Linked DNA regions of Canis lupus familiaris. The protein of the gene in region 3 purifies or fractionates together with the protein of the main gene of each other region. This does not show direct contact. Links are inferred from orthologs where the notes say so. Each region holds a gene or a part of one and is shown on either strand. Other genes may lie near its edges.

Region 1 (4,412 bases), on a different chromosome or scaffold from region 3:
TATCTGCCTTATACATACACGTGTCCAGGTTCACAAGAGTTTCATCCTCCTCCTCCTCTTTTGCCTCTTCTTCAGGGGGTGGTGGAGACTTTGAGCTATGGGTATGAGAAAAAAGCAAATACAGTGTATCCAAAGTCCTCTTCCTTAATGGGTGTCTGTATAACGTTTTAAACTATCAGTGAATACAAAATTCCAAAAGACAGCTTCTTTCAACAATGAAAACAGCAACAGGAGCTTTCAGAACAGATTCAATCTAAAACTTATACCTATAAAAGCCTATTTGATTTTAGATCCACCCCTCTCTCCAATCAACATCAGGTATATCAAAATCAGAGCAGACACTCCTTTCAACGAAAGGGGCTGTTTCCCTCACCGGCTGTGGTAAGCCTCCTCTCGGAATTCATAGTAAGCTCGGCCATGTTCATCCTTCTCATCCCGCTGTCTCTTTACCCCCCGCCGCTCACCATCTGAGCCTGCTGGTTTTGACTTTTCACTATCTTGGTCATCTCCTACAAAAAGGAGGGAAAGAAAATCAGCAGTTTTCATACTGGAGTGTAGAATAAGCTCAGAACCAATAGAAACTAAAAAGGGATCTGAGTATCTATCTAATCAGAATAGCCAGGTTATTCCCACTGCATCCACAGAACGTTTATTTCTAAAGATCATCCTCCTGTCATTGACTGGTACTTTAGAAAAAAGGACGGACATTATGATTATGAGCTAATTACAGTCGAGCAGTAGATAAAAATTGGACAATTTTTGCATTCTAAATTTATCTACTTAAATCAGGTCAAACCTGCAGATTTTCCCACCAATATGACATCTTTAAAAATCCCCTAAGTCTTTAAAAATTTCATAGGTTAATTTAGACTCTTGTCAAATTTCAATGTAAGCTAGGCACTTAATATACATTTTCCATCACTCTTCAGCAGCTTCATGATATAGATGTCTCAATATGTGTGTGTGTGTGTGTTTTAAAGAGTTTGCCTTTCTAGCTTAGAATGCACAGCCCTTCGCAGCATTTACTTATACAGCAAATGGACTCAGGTGCATATACAAAGCTATATTTTTACCATGGGCTTTACTGAAAGTTGTCAAGGGCAAACCATTAAGTCACAAGAGACCCATAAATAATACTGCATCTTTACTGCACATAATTTGGGGCAGAAAGGTGTTATCATATATTTAGCAACATTCTCTGCAAGAGGAAAAAAATCTGAAAATTTTCCTTAGTTTGTAAAACAAGCGTTTAAAATAATAATTTATTTAAAGCGGTCTTTTCTCTCTCAAAACCTTTTTTATCTGCTATTTGGGATACACGTTAAGTCAAAGGTTATGTAATGGGATTTTTGTTCCAGGACACAGAGCAAACAATCTGCAAGTTGCATGTGACTGTCTTAGAATGGGTTCCAATTATACCATGATTACTAATAGCAGCCTAAAAAAAATCTCTTATAAGAACTAAGGCAACCCACTTCATAGTAAGACTCGGAAACAGCTCTAGTTTTCCTGCCTACTCGGACAGACAGGTACGGATCAGCTCTAACCATCCAACCACTTCAAAAGAAAAGAGAAAGGTCACTAACTCCCTGGGGCAATTCCACACATTTTCTTCCCAGGTTACTCAATGGAGCCACCAACACCTCAATCGTTTCAATTCAGGAAGTCAGGGACCTAAAATGTAAAAGACTAACCAAGTGTGCAGCAAATCCACACATTTTCCCATCCATGGACTCAGTGAAAAGATTTAAATTTAATCATAAGAATTCAGACAAGATAAAACCTCTAGCCAAGAGGGTTGGCTAGTTCTAAATGCACTAGATTAAGACCGTCTCTTCACTAGTTAACTATTAAACTCCATAGCCTCACACCACAGGCTGCTAAAGCAGGAGCAAGGTTAGACTTACAGATTCACCGTGTGGCTCAAGCTCCAGCAATGGGATGGAGCGAACTTTAGCGAACTTAGACTATTGCTCAATATTTTTAAAACGGAAATATCAATACTCAGGTAACCCAAAGGCCAAAGCCTCCAACAGTCCGGTCTGGCCGTCCGTGTAAGCACCAATCTCTCAGCGCATTCCCGCTTAAGGAAGAGATAACCAATACCGCGACAGGCTGCTCCACAGGTAGCTCACAAGCAGTTCGCATGCAAAATTACTTCCATCCACTACCACTAAGGAACCAAGTTAGGCAGGAACGTCTCTCCTGCAGAGAGCGGGGCCACCAGGGGCAGTCAAACCCTCCAGCAAGGTGGGCCAAGAATGAAAGCCAACTCCCCTGGGAACTCCCACCAAAAGGCGCCGGGAATCTTGCGCTTCCAGGCAATTGAGAACAAGGAATCGGACCCCGCGGTGCACGGCTGAGTGCTGGATCGGGGGCAGTTTGGGGACGGGCTCCGCTGCCAGCTCCTCACCCTGTTCCTCTGCGGCCTTGTCACCCGGCGCCTCGGATCCCGGCGTCTCATCCCCGCTCCGCTCCTCTGGCTCGTCTTCCTCCCCCTTGCCGGTGCCCTGCTCTTCGCCACCATTTACCCCACCTGACCCAGCCGTGGCCTCCTCCGCCGGCTTCTCGGAAGCATCGGGCTCGGCCGCGGCCTCCATGGCTGCCGCCTCCGGGGGCTCCGGCGGCGGCTGCGCGGCCTGGCCCGACGCCTGGGCAGGGGGTGGCTCTTCGTCCTCGTCCTCAAGCAGCGCCTCCTCGTCCTCCTCCTCCTCCTCTTCGTCGTCCTCCTCGTCCCCGCCCGGGCCACCGCCCGACGCGGCCACAGGCCGAGGCTCCGCCTTGCAGGCCCCGCCGGGCCCGGCCCCGCCACCGCCGGCCTCGTCCTCCAGCATCTCGGCGTCTAGCGCCTCCTGCAGCCGCTGCGCCAGATCTACCTTGAGGCCGCGCGAGTCCAGGCCCCGCCGCTGCAGCTCCGACCGCAGCTCGGTCACTTTCAGCCGCTTCACCTCCATCGCCGCCGCCGCCGCCTCCTCCGCCTCCCGCCGCCTCCTCCCCTGCGAACCGTCGACCGAGCCCGACCGCGCAGGCGCCGCCGCCGCCCGCCTCCGCCTCACGCGCCAGCACTGAGCCCGCGCGAGCGAGCGCACGCACGTACGCACGCAGGCAGGCAGCGAAGGCCGCGCGCAGCCGCTGCGACGTAGGGTTTGTTTCTCCCTCCTCCTCCCCTCCCCCTTTCGGCTCCCCGAGCCCGAAACAACGCAACGGGGAACTGCTTCCCTTCCTGCCCCCTCGATTTCCCTGCCGCGGGCGGGCGCGCGCCGAGGACGACGGACTTCCCTCCCCTTCCCTCCCCTTCCCTCCCGCCCCCTCTCACCCCTGGGCCAATCGCCGCCAGTGGTTTCACCGCGCAGCCGCACCGGAGCGGGAGACGGGGAAGCCTGGCTACAGTTCAAGTGCCTCGTAGCACCGAGGCGTGTGCGCGCCCGCCCGCCTTCCCGAACTTCCAGCCCCGGGCTCTGCGCAGCCGCGGGGGAGCTCCCTTCCCACTCGCCCCTCCCACCCCGTCACCACCCTTACTCCCGTCTGGCTTCCGATCGCGCGGTCGTCTTAGGGCTTGTTTGCTAGTCTTTCTAGCCTACCGCCTAAACGTGCAGCAACTACTTGAGAAAAAGAAAAAGGAGGGCAGCTGTTGCAACGTGAAAGCCTACTAGCAACTGTCTTCCTGTTTGGTACACAAAGGGCTTCCCCAAACCAAGGAATACAGTGATCCCGGGGCCCTCTTCTCGCAATCCTTCACTTTCTCTACCCAGCAACAGACGCCCGGACCTCGCCATTTAGCCTTCCCATTGGCCAACTTGAATCGACATCTGCAATTCTGATTGGTCGTGCATGATCGTCCGGATTCTTCCAATTGGCTAAGCTGCCAGGAGGACTTTTTTTTTGCCGGGTTGTTCCGTAGGGGGACTGGAGAGAGTCGGGGTCGTGTCTGAGGGATTCCTTTTCCTTTTTTTTTTTTTTTTTTAAATAATAAAATTGGTGTTCAATTTACCGACATACAGAATAGCCCCCAGTGCTCATCCCGTCAGGTGCCCCCCTAAGTGCCCATCACCCATTCCCCCCCACCCCCCGCCCTCCTCCCCTTCCACCACCCCTAGGCCGTTTCCCGGAGTCAGGAGTCTCTCTGTTCTGGGATTACTTTTCCGAAGCCGCTTTTGATTGGGCGGCGTGGCGCAATGCGCGCCTCCCCTTAGACGCCAAACTGTCGGGACTCCCCCTCGGGCCTCCTAGGTGTTTCCGCCGCTAAATCGAAGCCAAGCAGGGGATTTCCGTGCGTGGGCGTTTGGAGAGGGCGAGGGGTTGACCGCTGGGCTCCGTGGTTTTGGAACTGAGCTGCTCTGCGGCCGCGTCGCTTTATGCCTGGGGTTGGGGTGCACGCTACGCATTCAGCTCGGTTCCCGGTTTCCGACACA
Region 2 (4,442 bases), on a different chromosome or scaffold from region 3:
ATCCCATCTCAGCAGTGTTATGGGAGCATGAAGTCATGCAGTCAAATGAGTTTTTACCCCTTCCAGTTACAGGCTAGAAAATATGACATTTCATGCAATTTTTAAAGATTTGTTCAATGGCACCTGGATGACTCAGTGATTCAAGCGTCTGCCTTTGGCTCAGGTCATGATCCCAGGATCCTGGGATTGAGTCTCACAAAGGGCTCCCTGCTCAGTAGGGAGTCTGCTTCTCCCTCTACCCCTCTCCCTGCTCATGTTCTCTCAAATAAATAAACAAAAATCTTTAAAAAAAATTTGAGAGAGCACTTGCAAAAGTGGGGTAGGGGCAAAGAGAGAGACTATCAAGCAGACTCCTTGATGAGCGTGGAGACCCACAGGGGGCTCCATCTCACCACCCATGAGATCATGATCTGAGCTGACACCAAGAGTTGGACACCTAACCAACCGAGCCATTCAAGCACCCCTGAAATTTCATGCAATTTTAATGTATGAGAGAATTCAAAGGTAAGTTAAGACACAGGCCTGGGGCACCTGGGTGGCGCCTCCTTTGAGCACCTGAGTTTTGGCTTAGGTCATGATCTTGGGTTGTGAGATGGAGCCTCAAGTAGGGCTCCATGCTCAGTGCAGAGTCTGCTTGTCCCTCTCCCTCTGTTCCTCCCCTCACATGCTCTCTAATAAATGAAACCTTAAAAAAAAAACACCCCAAAATACGTTGTAGTATATATAAAATAATTTAATAGGATATATATAAAAGACAGCAAATAGAACACATATGAACTTATTTAGCCCTAAGTGAGATCTTGTTATTATCACTATTTTACAGATGAGGAACCAAGGGTCAGAAAGATTTTCTAAAGTCACATAGTAAGAAAGTTTGAGCAAATGCAAATGGTTCATTTTGGCTGTAGAATGGGATACTCCACACTAGTGTGTGTCATATTTGGCACCTTGCATTTCAGATGGAAGAGCCTGAACGCCGTGCCAACAAGTCTACACTTTACTGTTCAGATAGTCATAAATTATTAAAGCAGAGTCCAGTCATTGGCAATACCACCATGGCAGTGATTTTTAGGAAGTGGGATGGAGAATTTGGTTAGGTCTCAGTATCTCCACCCCGGCCTAGTAACATCTGGGGCCAGGTAACTCTGTTGAGTGATGTCCAGCGCGTTGTACAATGTTCAGCAGCATCTCTAGCTTCTACTCACTAGCGGCCTGCCAGTAGAAACAGGCTCCCTACCCCACAGTTAAGAACCACTGAATTAAGCTAAACCAGGAGGAGGGCATAAAAGAGTAGAAAATATCTGTGAAGAAATAAAAGAGAAAAAAAATTGAAGGTCATTTTGGAGGATGGTCTCAAAGTACATGAGATCGAGAGATGAGAGAAATTATTAAAACCAGTTTCATCCTGTGAAATTCTCAAATATCTGTTAAGAAACAAAAGCACCTGTTAAGAAATGAAAAAGGTAATCTAAGATTACAAGTAGAGGATGGTTCTTTTGCTAAAAATAATTAGCATCTCACCAGTTCGTGAAGAACCCAGAGAATACTTCTAAGGTTTTGCCAAGTCGTCAAGGAAAGAGAGTTTTAGACAGAACTCCAAAATAAGTTGTATTTTTCTTAACGTCGGGCTCACGATGAACACTTCAACAGACCCAGCTAAAATACACGGAGTTCTTGCACAAAAAATGGCTTTGATACAAATATGCATTTCAATGTAAAACTATTTTTTTTCTTTAAAAGATTTACTTGAGAGCGAGAACCAGAGAGAGAGAGAGAGTGCGCGTGCGAGCGAGCAGGCGAGCAGTGGGGAGGGGGCAGAGAAGGAGGAGACACACCAAGCCGACTCCACGCTGAGCCCAGAGCCCACCGGGGCTGATCTCACCAGCAGATCAGGATCTGGGCTGAAACCAAGAGTGGGACCCTTAACCGACTGACCACCAAGGCGCCCCTAAATGCACAATTTCCTGGGCAGCCCGGGGGTGGGGGGGGGTGGGGCTCAGCGGTTGTGCGGCTGCCTTTGGCTCAGGTCGTGACCCCAAGGTTCTGGGATCGAGTCCTGCGTCGGGCTCCCTGCATGGAGCCCGCTTCTCCCTCTGCCTGTGTCTCAAATAAATAATAAAAAAAATCTTAAAAAAAAAAAAAAAAAGCACAATTACTAAATACGGCTTTTTCTTGCAGTCTGACTCCTCCACGAGGCTGGCAGGACGTGACCCACGCACAGGGCGGACGGCTGTTTCACAAAGCGACCCCCGGGTCCCGTTCTCCTGTTCTGCGCTACCACGTGCAGAAATCCTGGGACTGCGCGGCGGACACGAGACGGAGGCACTCGGGAGGCCCTGCACACGCTCGGCCCAGCGTCCCCGAGCCCGGGCCCACGCAAGTAGGAACATCCGGTTTTGAGGGGATTTTTACTGGATGCAGGAAAAAAGAAAAAAACTTACTTTTCTTGGATTAAAAAAAAAGAAAAAAATGAACGTTCCCCCACAGCGCTGTTAACAGATCACGTGACATCCAAGTCTTAACTTCTGCACAAGATCAAAAAAAAATTTATTTTTTTTAAATTTTCATCTATTCATGAGAGACCCAGAGAGAGAGAGAGAGACAGAGAGACACAGAGAGAGAGAGAGAGGCGCAGAGACCCGGGCGGAGGGAGGAGCAGGCTCCACGCAGGGAGCCCGACGCGGGCCTCGAACCCGTGACCCCGGGTCACGCCCTGGGCCGCGGGCGGCGCTAACCCCGCTGGGCCCCCGGGCGCCCCGGAGGGAGATTCCGAGAACAGAGCTCAAGGAAACCGCCGCCCCGCCCCGTCCTCGCGCCCCGCGGAGCCGCTCTGCCGCCCCCCGAGCGGGGCCCCGGCGCACGGACGCCGCCACCCGCACGCGGCCCTCCCGCGTACTCACTTTTTCAGCTCGGGAGGGTGAGCCTTGCTCATGGCGCCGACTCGGCGAGCTCGCAGAGGCCTCCACACGGCTCCCTCACGCTCCCGCCGCTTGGCGCCTGACGTCACCGGCCCCCGCCGCCAATCAAACGCCGGCAGAGGTCACATTCCCTCCCGCGATACTTTGAGGGCGCCCCCGGACTTGCCGAACGCCCGCGAGTTTCCGGTTGCGTTGCCAGCGATTGGCCTGCATGGGGCTACATGGGGTGGGACTTCCGGTCGCCTCCTCAATTCCGTTTCCTGATTGGTGAAACTGACGTAAGGGCTGGGTCTCTAAGTCGTCGGCGCAGCTGGCGGATCCCTCGCTTTGCGACCTGCGCGGGTTAGCGTCCTCGCACGTGCCCAGTGCGCACGCGCTCGGGAGGGCTGGGCTCTGGTCCTGCCAAGGTCGATCAGCCTGCGGTGCCCCCGCATCGGGCGCTCTGCTCCTCCCTTCTGCCTGTGTCTCTCGTTAATAAATAAAATCTTAAAAAAAAAAAAAAAAAAAAAAAAGACTTAGGCCTCGGTGATTCTGAGTAGAGGATGATTCTCCAAAATTCAGTTCCTCCCTAATGTCCAGGAATGGCTCTATTTAAATACGAATAAAAGACTGAGCCTCATTCTAGCACTCAAAATCCTACAGGTGGCATTTGCCCAACTTCCCACCTCTCGCTGCTTACAAGCAGCTACGGTCCCGAAATGGATGGTTTAGCCTTCCCACGGTTATTTTTACATTAATGGACTCCGAGTCCCAGGGCCTTAGCTTGTCCTGTTTTCCCCCATTTACAATGAACCAGTCCCGCGTCTGAATCACAGCGAGTTTTTACTCTTCACGACGTCTTCAGACACTTATTTTACACATTACAAAGAGAAGCATCCTAAGAAAGTTGTAGATTCACTGCTCGCATACGAGAGACGCCGTAGTGGAGGAAAAAACTAAACCTTATTTATTTTTTAAAACTGAACCACTAGGAAAATAGATCACAGACTTGAGACACCCAACGCAGGCTATATCATCATTTCAAGTACTAAGTTGGTAAAAAGACAGTAAGGTCTTTATCAAAATGAAAAGGTGCTAGAGCTGGGGCAGGAACACGGCTTGCTGCAAAGGTCCTGGGGCAAGGGTGGCATTTGGTAATGGGGTGGGGGGTTGCCCCTCTTCTGCTTTAAAGGGATCACAGCCCACCCTTGAGTTGCCTACTTTTTCTCCTTTGACCTTCCTGTCACCAAGTGATTGTCTGAATAGGACTCTGTTATTTTGGGGGCAAAATAAGCAATACTGAGTTTAGGTTTTCATCCCATTCTGTTCCATAAAAGCCAGGTTTTTCCAAAGCCAGTACCTAATAACTCTCTTAATTAAGAAGACAAGAGCTCCTCCTTCAGTGTTCATTCCTGGATGCTGGTAAATGGTGCAATCAAAAACCCCTTTCCCTTCAAAAAGGAGAGTGTCACTGTGAGATTGTCCTGTCGCTCTGCTGCAGATAGCCTCGGGGCCCGTCATGGCAGCTGGCGAGAGGAAAGATCT
Region 3 (3,033 bases):
CATCAGTCTTCCCCAACAATGTTGTCTTCGTCACGGTAAGAGGGTCTGAAGGCTCTTGGTATAGGGGCCAGGTGTGAAGATGAGATTAAGTGGGAATAAGACAGGAAAGTTATGACCCAGAGGGATTTCTGCATGTACTCTGCCAGGAGAACCAGATCTTCAGGGATCTGAATCGTGACTGACAGTGTCTCCCCCCGCCCCATAACCTGGAAACATGGGGGCTCTACCTAGGCTCCTTTGTCATGACTACTGGTCCCAAGATGGGGTTTGACTCCTTTTGCCCTGCTCCTGTCCTGGACTGTAATCCACACCAGTCCACCTTCCCTTGCAGGCTGCTCCTGCTGCTCACTAGATTTGGTTCAGTTGGAAAGTTTTCTCAACGCACTGAATGCAGGTGCATGAAGGGATAGGTGTCAGACATGGAATGTTTTGGGGTGGGAGGAGGAATAGGGTGGTGGCTGACTAATACTTTGATAGGGACTTAGATCCAGAGTTGGTTGAAGAGTTGGTGGTCAGGACCCCAAGTAGTTTGGCCATAGGTCATCTCATGATGACCTGAGATCGTGAGATGGGGAGAGTCGGAGTCCTCTGTAACCGGGAAGGGTAGTCTTCAGAGTGTCTGTTCCCTGACTGTACATAGCTCTCCATAAAATACTCCAGTTAAGCCAACTGGTGGTGGCAGGTTGGGTTAAGCTTGCAAAAATGACTTTGCAGATGTTGATGAATTTATCATCTAGAAAAGGCTTCCTAAGGGCTGGGACTCTTCACTTCTCTTGGAGAAAGGAAATAGGCCTGGAACTTTGCCAACCTTGATTCCAGGGAAGGAACCACAGGTTGGTTCCCTTTCAAACCTGGGTTAGGAACCTTTGCAAAACATTGGGTCACTCAGCTTAATGTTTGCAGGGTGGGAATAAGTACTAGATGGACTCAGGAGAACCCTCATTTTTTTCCTCTGATGTTTCACCCCAGTTTGGAGACCTCTTTTGGGTAACTTGGTCAATGTAAAATGATCCACACTCCCTTTTTATGTTTGGCTTATCACCACCAGAAAGCAGGGGCAGGAGGATGTAAAGCAAGAAAATGAGGCTGGGAGTTAGTCTGACAAATGTCAGAGAAGGTTGTGGCCAAGGGCTAAGGCTGTAGGACTTTCTGTTTTGGAGGCTGCTGAGCAGGTTGTGTGGAGGCAGTGGTTCTTTTATTGCCTCTGTTGACCTTGCCCCCAATTCTTGCCCTCAGGGTAACTATGTGCTGGATCGAGATGAGCTGGTGGAGGCCCAAACACCTGAGTATGATGTGGTGCTCTGCCTCAGCCTCACCAAGTGGGTGCATCTGAACTGGGGAGATGAGGGGCTAAAGCGCATGTTTCGCCGAATCTACCGGCATCTACATCCTGGGGGCATCCTGGTCCTAGAGCCCCAACCTTGGTCATCCTACAGCAAGAGAAAGACTCTGACGGTGAGTTGGGAATTGGGTGGATATTGGGATATCCTTCTTTTAGTTGGGGCAAGAAAGGCCTCAAGAAAGGAGGAATACTTTCTGAACAAGGTGGACAGGTTCCCTGGGTGGGCATCACTGTACACCAGGGAAGAAGCCAACAGGCTGACGTGGTCCCCTGCCCTTCTGCCTAGGAAACAATCTATAAGAACTACTATCGAATCCAGCTGAGGCCAGAGCACTTCAGTTCCTACCTGACATCCCCAGAGGTGGGCTTCTCCAGCTATGAGCTTGTGGCTACACCCCACAACACTTCCAGAGGTAAGGTTGGCTGACCTGGGGGAGGCGGGGAGGGGATGGTAAGGCAGATGCTGTGGAGTCTTGGAGTTCTGCCAACCCTTCCTGATTGCACATTCTCTCCTCAGGCTTCCAGCGTTCTGTGTACCTGTTCCACAAGGCCCGTTCCCCCAGCCACTGAGTGGCCCCCTGAACAGAAAAGTGTGAAGAAGTTGCCCACTGCTCTTAAGGACCTGGGGGAAAAGGAAAGTATCTCAAAGTCTTTCCTTTTGGCTCCAAAAATTGTTTCCTTTCATGGATCTGCAAAGAAAGCTTTTCCTACGTTGCTGCCCCAGCCTCCTCCCTACACCTCTGGCATCTAAGCAGCAAGCCCAGCTGTGCTGGAGTTACCGACATCTTCCTCTCTCCCCCAGCTCACTGGGCTGGATGGCATGGACTGTTTGCTGACCTCTGTTCTCCTAGGGTATGGGAGGTGGGCGGTATCAAGTTCTCTGGCCTCTTCCTCCTGCTCTCCAAAGGAGATTCCCCTTTCTCCTCAGCCCTTGTCCCTGGCTGTTGTTGCAATGGACCACAGATAGATGGACTGAGGGTTAAGTGAAGGGGAAGTTTGGCAGGGAGGCATGCAGGTACTGTGAAAATCCTTCCCTCTGCTCACCTCCATTGGGAGAGGGGGTTGGGTTTGGAATGTAAGAACAGCACAATAAATTTGATGTTTCAGGCAGTGGCCCCCACACTTGTGTCTGGCACTTTCTACCTAGTGGGAAAGGGTTAGTGCCTCCCAAAACACCTGGGTTTCCTCTGCCCAAACTGGAGTCTCAAGAATTAAGGACAGATTTTTCAGTGGTTGGGAAGATTGAGTGTTGAATGCTAGTCACATCTATACACAATGAGTCAGAACTCTAATCAAGAAGGAGAGGTATAATGTGAATTTTATGTGAAACTTAAGAGTTCATCTCCCCTCCCCCAAAAATGCATTGACAAGAATGTTTTGTGGGAGCGCGGGACAAAGGCTAACTTTGGAAGAATTAACAGTGGAGCTAAAAAAAGGCACTACTGAACAGACCTTCCCACCTGCTCCAGGGACACCCCCTCCCCCCCTTTTCTGTGATGTGCAATTAGATGACTAGGTAATTAACATGAAACTCTTCAGCATGTCCAGTGTTCTTGGGACTTTGATACTCACTTAGCAAATACTGAGCACTCCTGGATCTGGTGTAAACATGGACAAGGCTCTTCCAAGTAAAGACAAGGATGTAATTTCAATAACTGGGTGCAAATAGCTACTGCCTCTCAGGCTCCTGG
Region 4 (4,417 bases), on a different chromosome or scaffold from region 3:
ATCTTATTTGGGAGTGAGGCGGCCCCAGCTTAAAGCTAGGAGGAGGTAGCATTAGCAAGCCCATTAAAAAATACCATGCATCGTACCACATGATGCTTTTTAAGAGCATTAAATCCCCTTAGGGACATAAACTCTAAAGGGCTAATCTAGCTTTTGCACCAAGTACTTGGATCACTGGATACCTACCACTACCACCGCCATAGCCGCCTCCGCCTCCTCCGTTGTTATAGCTGTCATAGCTGCCACTCCCGCCATAGCCACTGCCCTGGTTTCCATAACCCTGTCCACCACTTCCATAGCCTCTGCTTCCTCCAGAGTAACCAGGGCCGCCTCCTCCATAACCACCTACAAGAATACAATTCTTCTCAATAAGACAAAAGTATTTCACAGTCAAAACCTGTGCAAGTGTAATGCCTAAAAGCCTGCTCACAGCATGCTGTTATCAGAGCTGTTTATCATGCACTAGTTTAGCTCTACTAACCTAGTCTAAAGGTTGCCAAACGAAACTCCACCTATATATTCCTTAAAATAAACTTACCGTCATTACCAAATCCGTTATAGCCATCCCCACTGCCACCATATCCACCACCACCTCGACTGCCACCGAAGCCACCTGAAAGAAAGTAGAGTTTTAAACCACCATGAAGTGTACAGAGTATACGTGTTCTATGTTGTTTTAAAGTAGAATTCTATAAAGATACTTCCTGTGCTACAAAAATGATCCCAATGTTGATGATTTAACTTTCTGGTTAGTAAAAAGCCAGATCTACACTTGGATAAAATTTAAGCCAGGAGTTAATCTGCTGCAGAGGAAAAAGGGACCTGGGGATAATCAAAGTATAAATTTATTGTTAACTTTGAGTGGTAAACTTACCTCGACCACTGAAGTTCCCTCCACGACCAAAGTTGTCATTCCCACCAAAACCACCTCCACGACCACCACCAAAGTTTCCAGAACCACTTCGGCCTTAAAACACAAAAGTTTTAAATGTTACATTATACGGATTGGAGAATCACTCAGTTAATTAATCCTCACGTGCAAGGATTAACTGAACAAACGCACCTCTTTGGCTGGACGAAGCACTAGCCATCTCTTGCTTCGATAGGGCTTTCCTTACTTCACAGTTGTGGCCATTCACAGTATGGTATTTTTGAACTAAAAAAAAAAAAAAAATTCCAAGAGAACATGACCTCAGGCTTTAGAACGTAACATGGATTTCAGAAGCCGTAGCAAAGAGCATGCCCGACACTTACTGACAATCTTGTCTACAGAGTCGTGGTCATCAAAGGTCACAAAAGCGAAACCTCTCTTTTTGCCACTGCCTCGGTCAGTCATGATCTCAATCACTTCGATTTTCCCATACTGTTCAAAATAATCTCTTAGATGATGTTCTTCAGTGTCTTCTTTAATGCCACCGACAAAAATCTTTTTCACAGTTAAGTGGGCACCGGGTCTTTGAGAATCCTATTGTTGGGGGGGGGGACGGGACGGACACAATTCCGTTATTTACACCGACCAAGCCACCCCTAACCGCGAGGTCCCCTTGGCGGCCCGCTTCTGCGTCTGCCCAGGAAAGAATAAACCCTCACTCACTTCTCGGGAGACAGCCCTCTTTGGTTCCACGACTCTTCCGTCCACCTTGTGCGGCCGGGCGTTCATGGCCGCGTCCACCTCCTCCACGGTGGCGTACGTGACGAACCCAAAGCCTCTGGAGCGCTTGGTGTTGGGGTCTCTCATTACCTGAAAGGTGAGCTCCCTGAATACTGAGGAGAACCCCGGAACTTCTCACGCTGAGTTACAAATTAAAAAAAGAAAAAGAAAAAAAAAAAAAAAAAGAAAAGCGCGCCCCCTCCCCCCCCCCCCCGCCCGCCCACGAGGCCCTCCGGCTCCCCGGGGCCGCCACACGTGCATCTCCTCCCGGGAGCGCCTCCGCGGCTGGGACCACCCCTTCCGGCGCCGGCCGGCTCTCCGCCCCAGTCCCGTTAACCGCCGTCGGAGCGGCGGAAGCCACCTCGCTCCCGGGCCCTCCGTCTCCGGCACGTCTTACCACACAGTCCGTAAGCGTCCCCCATTGCTCAAAATGGCTCCTCAGACTCTCATCGGTCGTTTCGAAGCTCAAACCTCCGATGAAGAGTTTCCGCAGCTGCTCGGGCTCTTTGGGAGACTAGGAGCGGGGACACAGCTCGTTACGTGGCGCGCCCAACGCCCAGCCCCGTCCCGTTGGGAGGAAAATCCTAGACAGCAGCGTTACAAGGCACGTATTGTTCCCTCGGGTTACGGGAGGCCACGTGCTTCTCCCCTCGGGGGGGACCGAGCGGTGGGGGCTGGGAGGCCGCGGGCGCATGCGCCCCGACTCTCCCTCCGACGCACGCGCAACAAAAGGACTCGGCTGGACGGACGCCGAAGCGGCGGGGAACTACGGCTGCTCCGCAAGAAACTCGCTCCCGGAGACACGATCAAACAAAACCCGTCGAATGCGCCCGCGAGTTCTGCCGGGAGGGCGCAGCCCGGCGCCACAGCCAAGCGCTGCAGGACGGCGGCCTCATGGCGACGACGAGGACAAAATGGCGACCTCAACTTCGGGAGGGGAAGGCCCTGGCGGCCCCCGAAGGGCTGCCGAACGGGCTGGCGCGAGCGGCCACGCCAGGCCGCGTCCTACCGGCCCCAGGGAAGGAGTGAGGAAGGAAACTAGGCGGGAGACAGCGTGTTACTCACCTCTGACTTAGACATGACGGCGGTGGGAGGGGAGACTTTAACGATGCTTACTCGGCGGCGTCCAGGGGCAGAAAGGAGTAATCTAACGAACGTATCTGCCAGCCTACCTTCGGCCTCGCTTTTTTATCCCGCCTCCTCGCTTTAGGCATTGGTAGACTCCGCCCCTGAGCGTCTCTGATTGGATGTTTGCGATAGCCTCCCCCTGCTATTGGTCTATAGCCCCGCACTGCTGCGCAACGTCATCCGCTTGGGCGTTCTACGCAGGCTCCGCCCCTTCAGGTCTATTGGTTCCCGGGTAATATTATTCCTAATTACTGTGATTGGCTCGTCAACCAGTCATTCATATTTGAACGAACCTAAGGTATTTAAATGAATTTTCAATCCATTCCGCCCCGAAATTATGTTCCGCTCAGTTGGCGAAGCACGGTAAATGCTAATATATTACGAACGAGGTTATCAGGTGATTTTTTTTTCTTTTTTTTTTTTTTTGCAAACGACCGCCCGCCGGGCGCATGTGTAGTAAAATGGCGAGTTTACGCAGGCGCACTAACCAGTTCCGCTCGGCGCTTGGAGCACGTGAAATGGCGGGCGGGAGACGGCGGCGACTCTACGGCGCCTGCGTCGTGGCGGGAGTCGCGCCCCGCTCTGCGCAGGCGTAATGGGCGGAGAAAGGGTCCGGTCGCAGGATTGGCCGCGCAGGCGCAGGGAAGGATCCGTTTTGGCGGGCGGTTGGCGTTGCGCAGAAGGCGGCGGCGGCGGCGTCCCGTGGTCCGGCCTCGCCACAGAGGAACAGGGGAGGCGTTGGCGCGAGTGGCCGGTCTCGATTCCGGGTAAGCGGCGGATCGTCTCGCCTACTCATACGAGGTGTTGAACTGACTCCAATTGGGCCCGTTATTGTGTGAAATGAATGGAGCGCGGGGTGGGGGCTCGTAAAGGGGGAGCGCTGGGTTCAGCCAACCAATGGACGGCGGGGGCGGGATGTCTGCCGGCCGGGAGTGCCGTGGGGCTCCGCGGCCCGGAGTCTGACTGGCTTGCGCGCGGGCCAATCGGGTCCGCCTTTGCCGCCGACGGACGGGCCCTCGGGCCCTCGGGACGTGGGGGCGGGCCCTGCGCCCTGAGCAGCGTCCCGCCGAGCCAATGGGCGCCGAGCGCGCCGTAGGTTGGGCTCCTCGGAGGCGGCGGGCGGACTCCGAGGGGGAGGCCCCGCTGTGGAGCCGGCGGCGGGCGGCCTGCGGACGGCGCCCGGGCGGGTCGCCCAGTCAGCGGTGCGGAAGCGGGAGGCCTCGCTGCGGGCTGTGGAGGAGCGGGCGGGAGGGCGCGGGGGCGCGGGGGCGCGCGTTCTCTCCACAGTGGCCGCCGGCGCCCGGCGCTCGGGCCTTCACCCCACACGCGTTTCCGGTAGGGAGACCCTGACTCTGTGGCGTGTCGCTTCGGCTTCGGCATAACCGCTCCACGCGCTCGCGCACGCGCACGCGCACACGCACCCCGGGGCTTCTGGTCGCCCCGCGCGTGGAGGCTCCCAGGGGAGCTCGGCCGGTCGTCGGGAACCCGCTTGGCCGGCAGCGTCCGCGCGCATCGGAACAAGAGCCGCTGCCGTCGCGGACAGGCGCCGACCCACGTGTGCGCGGAACGCCGCGGCCTTCCCCGGACCGGTGGCGGATGCTCGTGAGCCCGCAGGAGAAGTGTGGGAAGGGCCGCCTC

Evidence for each region. Proteins that work in one complex are often made in the same cells at the same time.
Region 1: the proteins of MEPCE (region 3) and HNRNPUL2 purify together in Homo sapiens (affinity purification with mass spectrometry; 3 studies listed by BioGRID and IntAct, with this or other methods). This does not show direct contact. The link is inferred for Canis lupus familiaris from reciprocal best matches to the Homo sapiens genes MEPCE and HNRNPUL2.
Region 2: the proteins of MEPCE (region 3) and SNRPG purify together in Homo sapiens (affinity purification with mass spectrometry; 3 studies listed by BioGRID and IntAct, counting the BioPlex papers as one, with this or other methods). This does not show direct contact. The link is inferred for Canis lupus familiaris from reciprocal best matches to the Homo sapiens genes MEPCE and SNRPG.
Region 4: the proteins of MEPCE (region 3) and HNRNPA1 purify together in Homo sapiens (affinity purification with mass spectrometry; 3 studies listed by BioGRID and IntAct, counting the BioPlex papers as one, with this or other methods). This does not show direct contact. The link is inferred for Canis lupus familiaris from reciprocal best matches to the Homo sapiens genes MEPCE and HNRNPA1.

What each region holds. Positions count from the first base shown.
Region 1 is NC_049239.1:54,460,291-54,464,702, reverse strand, and holds the start of HNRNPUL2 (heterogeneous nuclear ribonucleoprotein U-like protein 2), read right to left. Parts: upstream 2,985-4,412; 5' UTR 2,955-2,984; coding exon 2,414-2,954; intron 510-2,413; coding exon 374-509; intron 96-373; coding exon 19-95; intron 1-18.
Region 2 is NC_049231.1:70,134,861-70,139,302, forward strand, and holds the start of SNRPG (small nuclear ribonucleoprotein G), read right to left. Parts: upstream 2,985-4,442; 5' UTR 2,933-2,984; coding exon 2,901-2,932; intron 1-2,900. UniProt on the Homo sapiens protein: Plays a role in pre-mRNA splicing as a core component of the spliceosomal U1, U2, U4 and U5 small nuclear ribonucleoproteins (snRNPs), the building blocks of the spliceosome.
Region 3 is NC_049227.1:9,179,912-9,182,944, reverse strand, and holds the end of MEPCE (7SK snRNA methylphosphate capping enzyme), read left to right. Parts: coding exon 1-35; intron 36-1,236; coding exon 1,237-1,455; intron 1,456-1,628; coding exon 1,629-1,755; intron 1,756-1,859; coding exon 1,860-1,912; 3' UTR 1,913-2,464; downstream 2,465-3,033. UniProt on the Homo sapiens protein: S-adenosyl-L-methionine-dependent methyltransferase that adds a methylphosphate cap at the 5'-end of 7SK snRNA (7SK RNA), leading to stabilize it.
Region 4 is NC_049248.1:45,637,713-45,642,129, reverse strand, and holds the start of HNRNPA1 (heterogeneous nuclear ribonucleoprotein A1), read right to left. Parts: upstream 2,985-4,417; 5' UTR 2,732-2,984; coding exon 2,717-2,731; intron 2,166-2,716; coding exon 2,049-2,165; intron 1,742-2,048; coding exon 1,595-1,741; intron 1,466-1,594; coding exon 1,255-1,465; intron 1,157-1,254; coding exon 1,064-1,156; intron 968-1,063; coding exon 875-967; intron 614-874; coding exon 539-613; intron 346-538; coding exon 187-345; intron 1-186. UniProt on the Homo sapiens protein: Involved in the packaging of pre-mRNA into hnRNP particles, transport of poly(A) mRNA from the nucleus to the cytoplasm and modulation of splice site selection.